Ovis aries: one gene and its partner. The protein of the gene in region 1 interacts with the protein of each later gene in a pairwise test. Links are inferred from orthologs where the notes say so. Each region holds a gene or a part of one and is shown on either strand. Other genes may lie near its edges.

The links.
Region 2: the proteins of CRK (region 1) and PTPN4 interact in binary tests that used the Homo sapiens proteins (3 or more experiments, as listed by UniProt). The link is inferred for Ovis aries from reciprocal best matches to the Homo sapiens genes CRK and PTPN4.

Annotation. Positions count from the first base shown.
Region 1 is NC_056064.1:22,458,400-22,465,932, forward strand, and holds part of CRK (adapter molecule crk), read right to left. Parts: intron 4,826-7,533; coding exon 4,688-4,825; 3' UTR 1-4,687. UniProt on the Homo sapiens protein: Involved in cell branching and adhesion mediated by BCAR1-CRK-RAPGEF1 signaling and activation of RAP1.
Region 2 is NC_056055.1:185,170,785-185,178,317, forward strand, and holds part of PTPN4 (tyrosine-protein phosphatase non-receptor type 4), read left to right. Parts: intron 1-3,783; coding exon 3,784-3,826; intron 3,827-3,902; coding exon 3,903-4,002; intron 4,003-7,533. UniProt on the Homo sapiens protein: Phosphatase that plays a role in immunity, learning, synaptic plasticity or cell homeostasis. Regulates neuronal cell homeostasis by protecting neurons against apoptosis.

The DNA of each region.
Region 1 (7,533 bases):
GTACCTATCAAACAGATCTCACTAGAAAGAAGAAAGTCAACCCTGTTGGTCCAAATTCTAGCTGCTAGCCCACCAAGTTGTGTGTTTTATCTTGGCATTATGATGCAACAACTCATGTTATCCCCTGGTTCTTCCTTATGCAAATGTTGGTTGCTGTGAAAACAAAAATGCCTGCCATTGATCAAAGGGCAGAGCTTGCTAAGGAACAAGAGATGACGAGATGGTTCAGGCATAAACCTAACCCTGCACTCGTTTATTTAACAAGGGATATAAGAAACGGGCAACTTCTTATTGAAAAGAAAAAGTCAAAGTAGAACTTGATTCTAGTAAGAGAAAAGATGTGGCCAAAGAATTTACGTAAACTGTTTCCTCTGCTTGCACTCTTTTTGGAGGATGGTACCTGGCTTTTTTTTGTTGTGGTATCATAAGGCTCATAAAAGGATTTGGGCCTCAGACTTGGGACACTTTTGTCTACTTTCTACCTACTCTGACATTAGAGAGGGGCCAATGCAAGGAGATCCAACCAGTCCATCCCTCTAAGTGATCCATTCGCCTCTCCTATGGGGGGGAAAAGCAAAGCAAAACATGAAAGCACTGGAGATCTCAAGGCTGGGCTTTGTCAAGCATTTCACATTTCAGAAACAGAATGACCTACGGAGTTCGGTGTTACTTTAGCCAAAATTAAAAATGAACCTACGGCCTTGGACCATACCCAAGACCAGGGGTGCTGGAGAGAGCAGCTGAGAGGTAACCAGTCGGGTCCCTATTCCCCAGACTCAAATCCTGCCAAGGAAAATATTATTCGATCAACAAATATATATTTTCTGCTGTGAGTCAGGCTCTGTCCTGGGCTCTGGAGATGATGAACAAGTTAGACGTGGCTCCTGTCCTGATGGAACTGATTTATAGTCTAAGGGAAGAGGCGGAATAAAATCAGAGAAAGAATAACAATCTGAGAGGAGTGCTGAGACGGGACTTAAGAGATCAGGGAAGACATCTCTTGACAAAGCAGCATTTAAGCCAGAACTGAGTGGAGGCAAGTTAAGCTTGCTTTCAACCTATATCCCAACAGAATCCTTAAGTCTTGCTCTTTGAAACTCGATTCTTAATAGCAGTTCTTCTTGGCCCCCTACCTTATCTCCCCATTTCTTTTTCTTCATATACGTAGCAGCCGAGTTCCAAATTCTTAGCTTCCTCCTGCAAAACTTTGGAAGACTATTTTCATATTTTCATCTGTGGACAGGGCCACTTCTCTCTTCACATCTGTAAGAGGAATAGACTTTAAACTGAAGATCAGGGTCACAAAATACAAGACTGTTATGAGTACTCCAGGCTATGTAAAGAAATCCAACTCCACCTATCACAAAGATTTTATTTCTAATTGATAAAAAAGTGGAAATATATTTAAATCACCTTGCTGTTAAGTGTGTGTACAGCAAACATGGCTCCCTTGCAGTGGCTGCCTTTATTTACCTCTGGGTTGATATTCTGCCATGTATACAGCAGTAGCTAAACTGTTCATTTGGGTTCAAGGCAGAATACCCGCTGAATGACTGACCACACTTGTCCTTATCATCTTAGAACTGCACTATCCACAGGAACATAAGACTAGGACGTATAAAGTGACCTTTTTAGGTATATGTATCTACACACTGTGCATATGCATCTAAATATACATGCGCTTTGAGAAAGCATGGGAAGAACAAACTTTAACTTTTTTTTTTTGTTTTTTTTTTGTCTTTTTTTTTTTAACTTTTTAAATTTAAAAATTATCTACACTGAAGTAGGATCACTTACATAAAAAAAGGGGAAGTTATACTGAATATCTCCCCTAACATTCTAAAAACCTATTGTGTAACAGCCCACTTCTCACTTGCTTTATGAAGACCCCTACCACAGCCATATTTTCTGTGAACCCAAGTGTGATTTGGTATTACCTGCTCACATCATTCCAGCTTTCCAACCCTTATATAATCATTCTTCTTATATTCCCCTCAAATCATTATTTCTGGACTTCTGGAGACCCTTCAAAGTAACACCAATGATTGATCCCATTTTTATGAGTACCCACAGTGTGTATAATTGTTTATATGATTTTTCATAGGCTGTTGAGTACTACACACAACTCTGACTCCCTAAGCATAAAAGAGTCAGCTCTTTTGTGAAAAATATTCAAAGATTGCTTTCTTCAAAAGATCACCAAGCCAAACATTTGGCCATATTTTTATTTACTACATATACTATAAACATATACAATACATGCTACAAAAAAAAATTTTTTTTAATTGAACTGTCAAGAAAGTGTATAGTGTTATAATACAATGGCACATGTTTCATACTTTATTTCAAATTGGTTTGCTTATCATCCATTTCAAACCTTTAATAGTGAAATGTTACTTATGGATAATTAAAATTATCTATTTGCATTATTAACAATAAACAATTCCAACAATTAATAAGAACTAACCATGTCAAATATTAGTATCCAAAAAAATGGGTTTTTGCAGAAATTATTATATAAAATATAGCAGCCAATTTCGGTTTATTTTGCTCAGTGACAATGTACATATGCACTTGAATAGGATTCTTGCATTTGCTTTTGGAAGATACTTATAAGAAGTCCTCTGAGTTCTTAAGGTCCAATGACTGCCAAACCCAGCCAAAACCAACCCGACAACTCGTGTAATGGCTCTGGACAACCGATCACTGAGAAAGTCTTCTGATTCGGGTAGAGCTGCATGTTCCACCAAAATTACACATGAGGAAGAGAGACATTACAAGCCAGTATCAAGGTCAGAGGCGAAAAAAAAACACAAACATTCAAATCAGCTGTGACAAAGCTTTTCTACAAATATTTTAGATGTCATACTTTCAGGAAAACAAGACTTAATGTGTATTGGGTTTTACAGTATCTATGCTCTAACTGAAAATTTAAGAGTCATCAGATGGAATTAAATCTAGTATTGCAAACCTGTCCATTCAACATTATTGAGCACCCACTATGTGCATAGCACTGTGCCAACATTTTCAAAGTTGAGTATTAATGTCTTTATCAAGCACTATCTTAGTGTGAGGTAAAAATATATTAAATTAGCGTCAACTCATTAGTTTGCTTGTGGTAATGTATGTAATCCTGTGCCAGCTGGCTTCCCTGTGCCATATAATGAGCTTCTGCACACCTCGCATTCCCTCTCACAATCTGTATGCCAGCTGTGCCAGGCACAGTGCTAGTCACGGGGATATCATGATTTGGCATACATTCAATGAATGCGAATTAATCTTAACCTAGGCAAAACAACTGGAAAAATACATTACTTTTCTAACATGAGGCCCAAAGCAAAGAACACGGTGTTTCTATTGGTCACATCACACCACAGACCAGTAAGTGCCTCTAGACTGGGAACTAAATTTGAAAAAGTTTCATACGGTAGTCTAAATAGCCTACATCATTTTTGGTCTCAGAAGTCAATTCTTTGGAGCACCTGACCCTATATAAACCATTCCATATTTAAAAGGGTTTGTAAACTAAAACACAAAGAAAAAGAACCCCAAGTGAAGGCAGTTTATAACATAGTGTGTTTCAAGCACTATTCTGGCCATATGAAACAAATAATACAGAAGTAATTCATGATTGGTTCAAACATTTTTCAAAGCACTAAAACCCTATCCCCAAACTCATGTAATCTTAACTTGATTTTTATACAAGTTGTACATAAAGCAAAGGGCAGAATTTGGCCCCCCAACCATCCATGGAATATTCTAAGTGATTGGTCCTTCCACTCCAAGTAGAAGCCAAGAATTCCAAAAAAGCCCCTGACAGAACAATGGCACTCAGGAGAACGGCATGCTGGGTCCCATTAGCCAGGAGTCCACTGAACTGCGGTAGCAATGTGAACCTACTGTGACCCCTCGAGGGATGGCAGAGAGCTGGGAGTTTGGCTGTCCACGCAGTGAATCCAATACTGGCTTAAAGCTATGCACTGAATAAAGTGCTCTGCACATCCTGCTTATCATCTGGAATGAAAATAAACACTTATCTTGAGAATTAACCTATCTGCAGGTTTGGGGAAAAGGAATTACAAGGCTTGAAAGAATCCCAAGAAAAAGTATGAAGCATTGACTGGGAAGGAAGACAAATGCCTCTAGTAGTGTCCTCAGAATTCTCAGGATTTGAACTGTCAGAATGAGTCACACAATGGTCATGTTCCATAAATGAAAAAGCAATCCCACTGGGTACTATTCACACGTGCATGATTACTTCATGGGGTGGAAGGGAACAGTCTATTGCCATTTGACAGCATGGTTTCAGAATGAAAACCAAACCATTGAATAAATCAGGGTAAGTGGTGTGCAACACTTCTCTCCCGTCCATCAATTTTCCACAGGTTGATTTGTATTGCCTGAGAAAAGGGAGGCAAGATGCCGCTCCTTTCAGATACACTCAGGCAACGGTGCTACCACCTAAAATCACCAATTCAAAAGTTAACACACAAGCCCTCCAGTTTCGTACCCTGAATATGGTAAATAAGACCAGGGATGGAGTAGTTCAGTCTAAAAAAGATCACAGGCAACAGAATGCTTATATAAACTAGACTGCTTTGACATCTGTAAGAAAACTGTATAGATGGCAATTGGAAAAAAAAAAGATTGTTCCCATCTGTCAGCAAAACTGTTTGTTGAGCTATACTCAGCTGAAGTCCTCATCGGGATTCTGTTGATCCAGCAGACGGACATGTGTGAATGGGAAGTGACCTCGTTTGCCATTACACTCCCCTTCCCACTGACCACTCACATTAATCTTCGTAACCTTTACCAGCTCACCGACCTGCAGGAGGAGAATAAGGACAGCACTTTATTTCCAGTTATGAATGCAAGCTGAAAAACTCCATTCTCTGGTTAGCCATACCCTGCCCATGTGATTGCTCTAGGGCTGATATTACAGAAATGGCTATTTGCTGCCTCCCAAGCCCCAGCCACCAGACCGATTACTTATGGTTAATGCAGGCAAGAGGAAGAAGTGATTTTAGTAGTGCAGAGAATAACAGAGTACAGAAAATAGGAGGGATGCTAGAAAATGACACCTTTTGGAAAGTTCAAGTGTCTCTGGAGCAGCAACCCTACCTAGGATGATCTATAGGCCCTGTCTTTGTACCCACTACTCTTAGTTTCCTGCCTGGTCCACACTGGCCCTCCCCTCTCTGGCATAAAGCAGTGGAATCCCCTAGCCCACTCTTAAACACACATCCTGGCCTGGTGTTGCTTGTAGAGCAGAAGGCAATCAGAGGAAGCATACTTCATTTGGTCCCAGAAAATGGAAGTGTTCCCATCACCGTCCTACCAAGGCAAGGCTTTCCCCACCTTGGTACAGGCCAAGACTCCAAATTCCATCAGCTTCCTGAAAGCCTCAACCTTCTTCAGCTAGTTTTACTTGGCAGGCCACTGCCTGCCAGTCCCCACCACTACCCACCCCTAGCAGGTACTGACAGACTTTGCTGCTCCCTCAATGCCACCTGGTACCGGTTCCTTAACAGTAGGAGGACATCGTGTTTCTGCTGTTACCAAAAGTTTTCCTGTTGCAACATGAAATATTTTTGACAATCTAGGATATACCTGTATCTTACTATGAAACTTAAAAGACAAGGTGTTTGATGAATGGATTCACCCTGTAGCAAAGTATTTAACAATGGTGAGGTAAGTTCCCAAATGTCACTAAAGAGCTTTATGACTCTCCTTGAATTATCAACATCTGAGTTCTGCACATGCAAGTGGTTTATAAACGTTACTGTTCATTTGGTTTCATTAATAACAATATTTAACTCCCATAAAGTACTATAGTGCTTTATATAAAATCATTTTCTAATAATCATATAATCCTATAAAATAGGAATTCATTTTACATATGACATTCAGAACAACTACATGTTACATCTGAAGTCACAAAGCCAGCGACAGGGCCGAGATTTGAGCCCAGAAGTATCCAGCTCCCAAACCCACTTATGTTCTTCCACTATATTAAGAACTTTCAAACTATGCTCCCCTAGTCCTGCAGGTTCCTTCCCTAGGAAGGCCTGCAGGCTGACTACTGGCCAAAGCCAACTCAAGTTTAGGCCAGGGCCTTCTCTTAAACCAGCCTGATCTCACTCACAGAGGAAATAGGTTACCTACTGACCTACCTACAGTTTCCTAAAGAATTATATGAAAAGCTTAGAGGCCTAAAATGGCTGCAGGAATCATAAGATGCTGAGAAAAGGAAGAGAGAAACCATGGAATATTAGGGAGACAAGGGATAAGATACAAGGGTGAAAAAAGACAGCAGCTTGATGGGTTGATGATGATGAAGGCTGATGGGGAAAGGTGAGGAGAGAGGAAAATGACACTGCATATCTGTCTTTGCAAACAGATCCAACTCCTATAGGCTCTAGCACCCAGGGTTCTGTTTATTACCAGCAATCTTCCGATTCAATTCCTGATATCTGAGCAGACCAACTATGACAAGCAAAAGTTTTCAGTCTTTGTAGAGGAAGATCTGAACATCACAGGAGAAGTTCCTTGGTGGTAAAAACAGTCTGGAAGACTTCTTATATCTCCAATTCTAGTTCTCAAGACTACCTTACTGTTCTCATCTTTTAAAAATTCTTACAGTATTACAAGAAGTTAGCCTCTATATAAACTCCGTAACATGTAACTATTCCTTAGTGAATTTTCCTCCTTTCTGACCTGTTAGCCACCTTGACTCCGCAACCTTCTCTCACATACACATACAACACGTTACTGGAATTAATGGCCCTGCACTGCTAGCCCCTTGCTATGTTACAGTAAACTTTATTATAAAGTACAATGCTCTTCCCTCTCATTTTTATTATATACTCATGTTACACTCAAGTGCTATTCAGATAGCTGGACCCAGAATAAGTTCCTGACCTTAAGAAAGGAAAAAAAAAAAAAAACACTTAAAGGAATAGGTATGCTCATGTCAAAAATTTAAACTGCCACTCATGGGACTTCCCTGGTGGTGGCCAGTGGTCAAGACTCTGCTTCTACTGCAGGGGCATGGGTTCGATCCCTGGTTGGGAAACTAAAATTCCACATATAGGAAAATAAATAAATAAATAACCTTGCCACACATGTTAGATTCTCCTCCAGATGAGGAGCAAGTGGCCAGTTTAAGAAGCTGGTCTGATGCCATTCTAGCTATCTGAATCCATCATTTTACTGATATTAAAAACACAACCAAGGGACATGAGGGAACATTCTGGAATGCTGAAAACATTCTATACTTTCACCTGGGTGGTTGTCACATAGGTATATGCACATGTAAATTCACTGATCTACATACATACTTAGGATTGGTACATTCTACCAAACGATTTCATAGCTAAATAAAAAGGTCAAAAGAATGTTATGTTTCTCCAGCTTTTCTTTGTTGCTCAGTTGCTCAGTCGTGTCTGATTCTTTGTGACCCCATACACAGCAGCATACCAGGCTTCCCTGTCCTTCACTATCTCTCAGAGCTTTTCTAGGTGTTTTGTAAAA
Region 2 (7,533 bases), on another chromosome or scaffold:
GGTTGGTAGTGAGGCCCTGCATGACTTGGACTGTGGATGGAGAATGAGTGCGGTCTGGCTGGACCCACATCCAAATGCTGCTTCCCTTTGGGTGAACGGTTATCTCAATTATCGGAAATGAATATCATTTCCTTATATTTCCAACTGCTTCTTTTTCCTGGGGTTTTGGGATCTTACTGTGCATGCAAAAGCTGAACCGTCAACCAGAGTTGTGATGGCTTTTATATCTAGACTTGGGTTAAACCCTTCTACTGCTTCCTGTCTCTCAGGATTTCCTCCACCTGGACTCTGTCCATTGACACCTCAAGTTAGTGAGACTGTCCCCTACCTTGTGCTGGATTTGAGGTTGCCTTCAGGGAAAAAAATGCAAATGTATAAATCTTACCCTTGCAGTTTTTCTGTTTTTTCAAGATTAAACTTGGGTACTGTTTCTTCTGCCTGATTTTGGTTGCTTTCTGATGTCAAATATTGTACATACACACAGAATAAAAATGAGTGCCTTGAGCAGACAAGAAATTTTAAGGACTTCTTAGATTCTGTGCTTATAAGGATTAGTGGAAGAATCAAACGGAATCAAAAAGAGAATGTAGAAGAGAAATATGGTGGAGGTGGGAGAGTTTTCAGGGTGATACAGTACAGTTTGTCAAACAGTTCACTGAGAAACTGTTTGAAACATCTAGGCTCTTAACCCCTCAGGCAGCGTGTACTGTTCTTTGTGGAATAAATATATTTGTATGTTTGGCATGAAGGTGCAGAGAACTCATATCTTCTTAGCGATATAATTAATCTGCCTTGAGAGTCCAAATGAATCATTTGGAAAACTTTTTACAACTAGTAGGACTTAAAACTGAACAAAAAAAGTGTCAATCACTTTCTATGAACTGATTAGGGAACATAATCCAACAAAATAGCAAATTAAATAGATTTTCTTTTGAAAACCCCAATCCATTAAATATCTATGAATAAACTTTTGATATTAGAGGTATCAAAACTTATAGGAAGAAAACCATAAAACTTAACAGGAAGAGATAATAGACATGAGTAAATGAGGAAATAGCATGTTCAGGATGAGGAAGATTGAATGTTATGAAGATTTCACTAACAATTGCTAGTTAGAATCTGAACTGAATTTTTGGGGTGGAGGGAGTGAAGTTGACCCCATCACCCTCAAGTTCATCTTGCTCCATCTTCATGGTTTAAGTCAAGAGTATACCTCCTATCTAATTGCCATCACTGAGGAAATCTGTGACAGTTCCCAGTGCCTGTTAGTGTACTTCTCGAAGCTGTGCCAGCCTCACAGATCTTGTATATTTAAATGTGCGGATCTATGATATCAGAATGTTTTGAAGGGGAACTGAGTGAGGAAGGCAGGCTATGGGGAATTAAATGGTCCCAAGTTTTTATTTTAGACAGTAAAATAAATATAATTTATGCTTTTTTTTTCTAGAAAATATGCAGGAAAAAAATCACTAGATTAATAAATACATGAGTGAGACTGTGGATAAATGGGTGGATGCCTAGGGGGAACAGATATGTTAAGTAGGGGTAAAACCATCTGATTATTGGCACAGAAATAGAAACTGCGGAGTCATTCAACAGGGTTAGTTAGCCCTTCACCAGATAATTTTAGTAGATGGTATATGCTATATTTTGTGCTGGGTACTGACCCTTCAACTTTGAATAAATCAGGTATTATTCCTTACCTTAAGGAGTTCATAATCTACAAAAGAATATAGACAATAAAAAGTAAAACAAACACATTGCATTTAAAATGTTACAAAGGAATTTAATGTTCCTTACCAGAGGAAAATAACTAAGTAGATAGGAGCTTTGTGACATACTTTTGATAGGGCGGTCAATGAAGGCCTTTCTAATGATGTGAAATTTAAGTTGAGACAGATAACGAAAGCCATCAACCATGGTAAAAGCAGGGAAAGGACATTCTTTGCATCAGGGTGCTTGGAATTAAGGCATCTTGGAGAAACAGAAAGGAGGCCATTATGACTGAAGCTCGGAAAACTGTGGTGGAAGAAGTTAAGGAGACAAATATATCACTTAAATATGAAATCTAAAAAAAGGATACAAAGGAACTTATCTACAAAACAGAAATATAGTCACAGATGTAGAAAACAAACCTTAAGAGTTACAGGGCAGGAAAAAAAAAAAAAAAGAGTTACAGGGCAGGGAGGGAAGGGGGATAAATTGGGAGATTGGGACTGACATATACACACTACAGTATATAAAATAATTAACCAGTAAGGACCTCCTGTATAGCGGGGGAATTATACTCAATACTCTGTATTGGCTTATTTGGGAAAATAATCTAAAAGAGAGTAGATATGTGGATATGTAAAAAAAAATTTGACAGCCACAGATCTGGAATTGGCAAATCTGAACTGGACACCTATTTTGATTGGTATTGTAAGGCTTCTAAAACTTATCAGGAGTCTAGAATTGCCTCTTTGAAATATACATTTTTAAAATTAACTGAGGCAAATAAAACATTAAAGAAACAAAAAAAGAAGAGGTGAGGAGAGACCATGTAAGCCATAGTAAGGCCTTTGGATCTTAAATTAAATCATCAAGAGATGCCAAGCAAAGGAGTGACACTTTTTAAAGACTACTCTAGGGACTTCTCTGGTGATCTAATGGCTAAGCTCCCAAAGCAGGAGGCCTGGGTTCAGTCCTTGGTAAATTAGATCCCACGTGCCACAACTAAGAGTTTGCATGCCACAACGAAGGTCAAAGATCCCAAGGGCCACAACTAAGACCCAAAAAGAAAAAAAAAATAGGACTGGCTTCTGGAGGATGAAGGATGAGAGGAAGAGAAGAGACAGATTACAATTATTAAGAGGCTAAGGGATGGTAGCAGAGTAGGTGGAGAAGAATTGTTAAATTCTAGGGATGATTTGGAGGTAGAATTAGTTGGATTTGATATGTTGGATGTTATGGACAGTGGAAAGAAGACTAATGGATTACTTTCGGCCTCTTGTTTCTAAAATCTATTTGTGTGCACTTTATTGGATCTACTGTGGGTGGTAGTAGGATAGTTTATAAGTAACGGCATACAAGCTTATATTTTTCTAGTGCTTTAAAAATACTGCCATATCTATGACCTCGTTTTGGGTTGTTTAATTTTTTTGACTGAAACATTGGCTGCTGAAATGTTTTCTGAATTTATAGTTTTCCTGAAATAGAGCTTAAGTGGCATTCAGAAGTGTTTAGACTACTTGAAATTTTCATATACAAAAAAGCAGTCTTTCCCTAAACATTGTCTCTTAAAAAAATTAGTGTGGGATGTTTTTGGGGGGGAGTATTTTATTTTCTTTTTCGAGGAATAGAGAAGGAGTTAAATTTTTTTCATACTAGTAGATTTTCATGATGTGTAAATTTTGCCTGAATGAGAGCATAAAGCCAAGTGTATTTTTATGAGAGATAAAGAGAATTTTTAAAAATTGATAGGCTGTTAATACTTAACAGAACCACTTCATATTGTAGTGATGAAGCATTTTTACTTTTGGAATAGAGTTTATTATATACTGTATAACTTAATGAGAAATTAAAATCAAAATCTTAAATCACAAATATATTCAGTAACTTTCTTGTAGAATTTTGTTACATTTGATATGAGTTTGTAATTTAGTGATTTTTCCCCCTCACCTAGTAGGCCTTTTCAAAAAATGCAATTTTTAGCATTAATCTTCAAATGGAATAGATTTGTAAGAATTGATGTATTAGTTCATCAAGGAAAAAACAAATCAGTCTTATTTATTTATTTTTCAGAGGTGGCTGGATCCAAACAAACCAATAAGGAAGCAGCTAAAGAGTGAGCAAACATATTTACTTGATGTTATAAAATATACTTTATAAATATAAAGGATTAATATAATCTGATTAATTAGAACTGCTTTTATTAATTCTAGGAGGATCTCCTTACAGTTTGAACTTTAGAGTCAAATTTTTTGTAAGTGACCCCAACAAGTTACAAGAAGAATATACAAGGTGGGTTTATGGAGCATATTTTTACTTGAAAGTATTGTCAAAACTCTTACGAAATTTTGAAATTAGGCAAAAATAGATGACCATGACATAGTTCTGAGCTTCCCTGCCAGCACACAGAATAGGTTGTGGATGTTTTAAGATAAATTTCTTCCTCCTCTTTTGAATGGCTGGGAGAGATTTAGGAGGTTGTAACCCTAGGGCTAGCTCATCCAGCTGTAAGCAGTTTCCTGAGCCATAGAGATACTAACTTTATGAAAAATGGTTCAGAAGCACTGCTGTCACTAATTGTAGTAATTAGATGATGCTACAGTTGTATTCCAGGTATTCTGCATAGTGACTGTTATCTAGTTTTTTTTTCCCCCCTTGTGAAAGCATATTCTGTATTTTACTTCCATTGAAGAGAGCATAGAATTTATTAAATGTATAACCGCTGTGTGTAGAAGTGATGGTCAGCAGGTATCTCTGTAGAGCATGCTGGCAGAGAGTGCACTGGCACATTCAGGCTGAAAATCCCCACACCACTGGCCATTTTAAGTTTGATCTTCATTTACAGTTAATCCTGTTGTCCCTTCTACTTGACATAATGTACACAAGAATGACCCAGATGAGCATTTTGATATCACATAAATGTTAGGTGAACTGTTTAAGGTAGAAACCATGGGGAATAATTACAGTGTGGTAACTGTCATTATTAAAATAACTTGAATGATAACCTTACGTATTGCTTGAAAGACAGAATTAGTGGTTTTTGTTTCTAAAGACAGAATGAAAAATTAGTATATTATACCTTCCACACAATATAAGAATATAGGTCATTGGCTGTATTCAGAATTACTCTAAAAGATAAGTGACAAATTAAATATCTGAATACCATGGACAGAGGAGTCTGCTGGGCTACAGTCCCTGATGCTGCAATTAGTCTGAAAACACTGAAACGATTTAGCACGCGCGCACACACCTAAAGCTATCTGTAGGTAGGCTGTTAGATGCTAACGTCTTCATTATCCTTTAGAATAGTTCAGTAAAGTGGAGAAGCAAAGTACTGTTGAGAGTCCTTTGCTATGTGTTTGTTGTGGGGCAGGGTGTTACCATTTTTGTAACAACTCAGGCATATAGATCCAGGATTAGGTAGTCCTAACTTTTGACACTAATAATGTCCAATATAATTTATCTTGAAAGGCAAAGTTGTATCGTATGAAAACCTTAGTTTAATATTGTAACTCTTAATCAGTCAGATTTTGTTGTCGTTAAATAATTAAAGTAATAGGATCTTTTGTCGTAATAAATAGTTCTCAGTATAATAAAACATTCCCAAATTTTGGATGAACTGCAAGGAAACTGCTCTGAATTACTGAAAATTGGGAATTATAAAGCATTTTAAAATGCACTTTTTACTGGTACATGTAACTTGAAATCAAGTAACCAAGTATTCCTTAATACATATTTATGTAATTAGTTTTTAAATGTATATGAAAAATAAAAGACCAGTAATTTTTTATTGGATTTATAATGTGTTTAATGTTTATGAAAACTTTGTTAGCATAGCAATTTAAATGTTGTCAATTGTAGCTATAGTCATAATTTACTCCACTCAAAACACTGTCTTTAAATTTCTTAATAAGGTTGATGTGTTGGTTCTTTTATAGCCTGTGTTGAAAACATAACCAGGGAATAAATGTTTCACTGATAATTAAAGTCAAACTATCTTCATGAAGTAGAATAAAGTAAAATCACATTTGGTAGTAGTAGTGGAATTGTGTTAAAGTCTTATCAGTCTAAAATATGTTTTTCCTAGAAATAATGCATTATTTAAAAAGTCCTTTATAGTGTAATGTCCTGGAATCTTGTAACTGGTGCTTTTTGGTAAAATGAGTAAATGGCAAATTTTAATTTTATTACCATTTATACATCAAGGATTTTCTACTCTAATTACAAGTTAGAATCACCATAAGGGAGCTTTAAAACATACTGATAGCATGGCCAGACCCCTAGATATTTTGATTTAATAGGTATCAGATGAGACCTGGCTTCCAGGTGATTCTATTAATAATATGCAGCCAGGGTTTAAAAAAAAAGACTCCTTTAAACCTTTAGTGCTTGGGTAGCCTTCTTGTTATGGTCATGAGTAGGGGTAGGACACCTTTAGACACAGTGGCTCCGTTTTAAGGACCGGTTTAAGCCCCACAAAAAGGAAGTCTACCTCTGTACCTCCTTGCCTTGAGATTCTTTTTTGGATTAGTGGTTAAAAAAAGAAAAAAAAAAAGGAGTTACAGACCTTTCATCAGGTTAAATGTCATTTGTATTAACAGGTGCTGGCATAACTAGAGTTGGCATTTTCTTAGGGGTCATTACAATACACTGGAGAAGGCAATGGCAACCCACTCCAGTACTCTTGCCTGGAGAATCCCAGGGACGGCGGAGCCTGCTGGGCTGCCATCTATGGGGTCGCAGAGTCAGACGCGACTGAAGCGACTTAGCAGCAGCAGCAGCAGCATTACAATACAAATGACATTTCTTTTGTACCTTTTTAGTGCTCAGTATGTTCAGTACATAGTAGGTGTTCAGTGCATGATCTGTTACTATATTACTTTTACAACTTGAACAGATCATCTCTACATTTAGCTCAGTCATTATTAATCTGTCTTAAAGGTCTTTAATTGTCTTTAAAAATTGGGCTTTTATCACCATATTTAGGGCCCCTGGGATACATATACTAGGCAAGTGATATTACTTTCTTTTTACAAATAGAGAAACTAAGGCTCCACCAAATTTTAAGTAATTTGCCAAAGATCATAGGCTGGTTTAGCTTAGGACTTTAATTCTGGTTTTTATTCTATCAGTTCTTACTGCTCAGTGTGTAAATCAAATTCAGGAAGCATAGATGTTATTTGTATAGGATTTACAGTATTATATCAGGGATATACACATTTCAATCTTAACTATAAGACTGTTTCCCACTAGAAATTTTTAACTTTTAATTATGAAATCAAGTAAACCAGATAGAAATATGTTGTCTTGGGTTGAGTACATGGGTAATATTGTAATAGTATGTATTAAGCCTCACAAGAGTTTATGTACTTCACTAATATATGAAGTCAGGATATTGGTATCAGCTGTTTTATATCTGATTCTCTGAAAATCTTAATTACATTCTTTGGTAATTTGATTGTCATGGAACTCTTTAATAACTGTAATAGCCAAACAACTAAAATTGTAAATAATTTTGACTCTTGTGTACTCTTTTTAGGGGGTGAAATGAAAGTCTTAATTCTCTGTTTAAACATTAAAAATCACACAATTTTATCTTCTGCCAACATGATACAGCACCAGTGCCTTTACCCAGGCACCGATAAACCCAATCAGGGGATGACTGTACCCACCAGCAGGGACAGAAGGGCAAGGCCATCTTGTGAGCAACTTTGGTATTCTTAGTATAGGATACTTAAATTTTTGTTGGTTTTAAAGGAAATTGGCTACTTGGCAATATTAATAGTAGAGCAACAGTAGGGAAGGGAACTTTCCCCGCCCTGA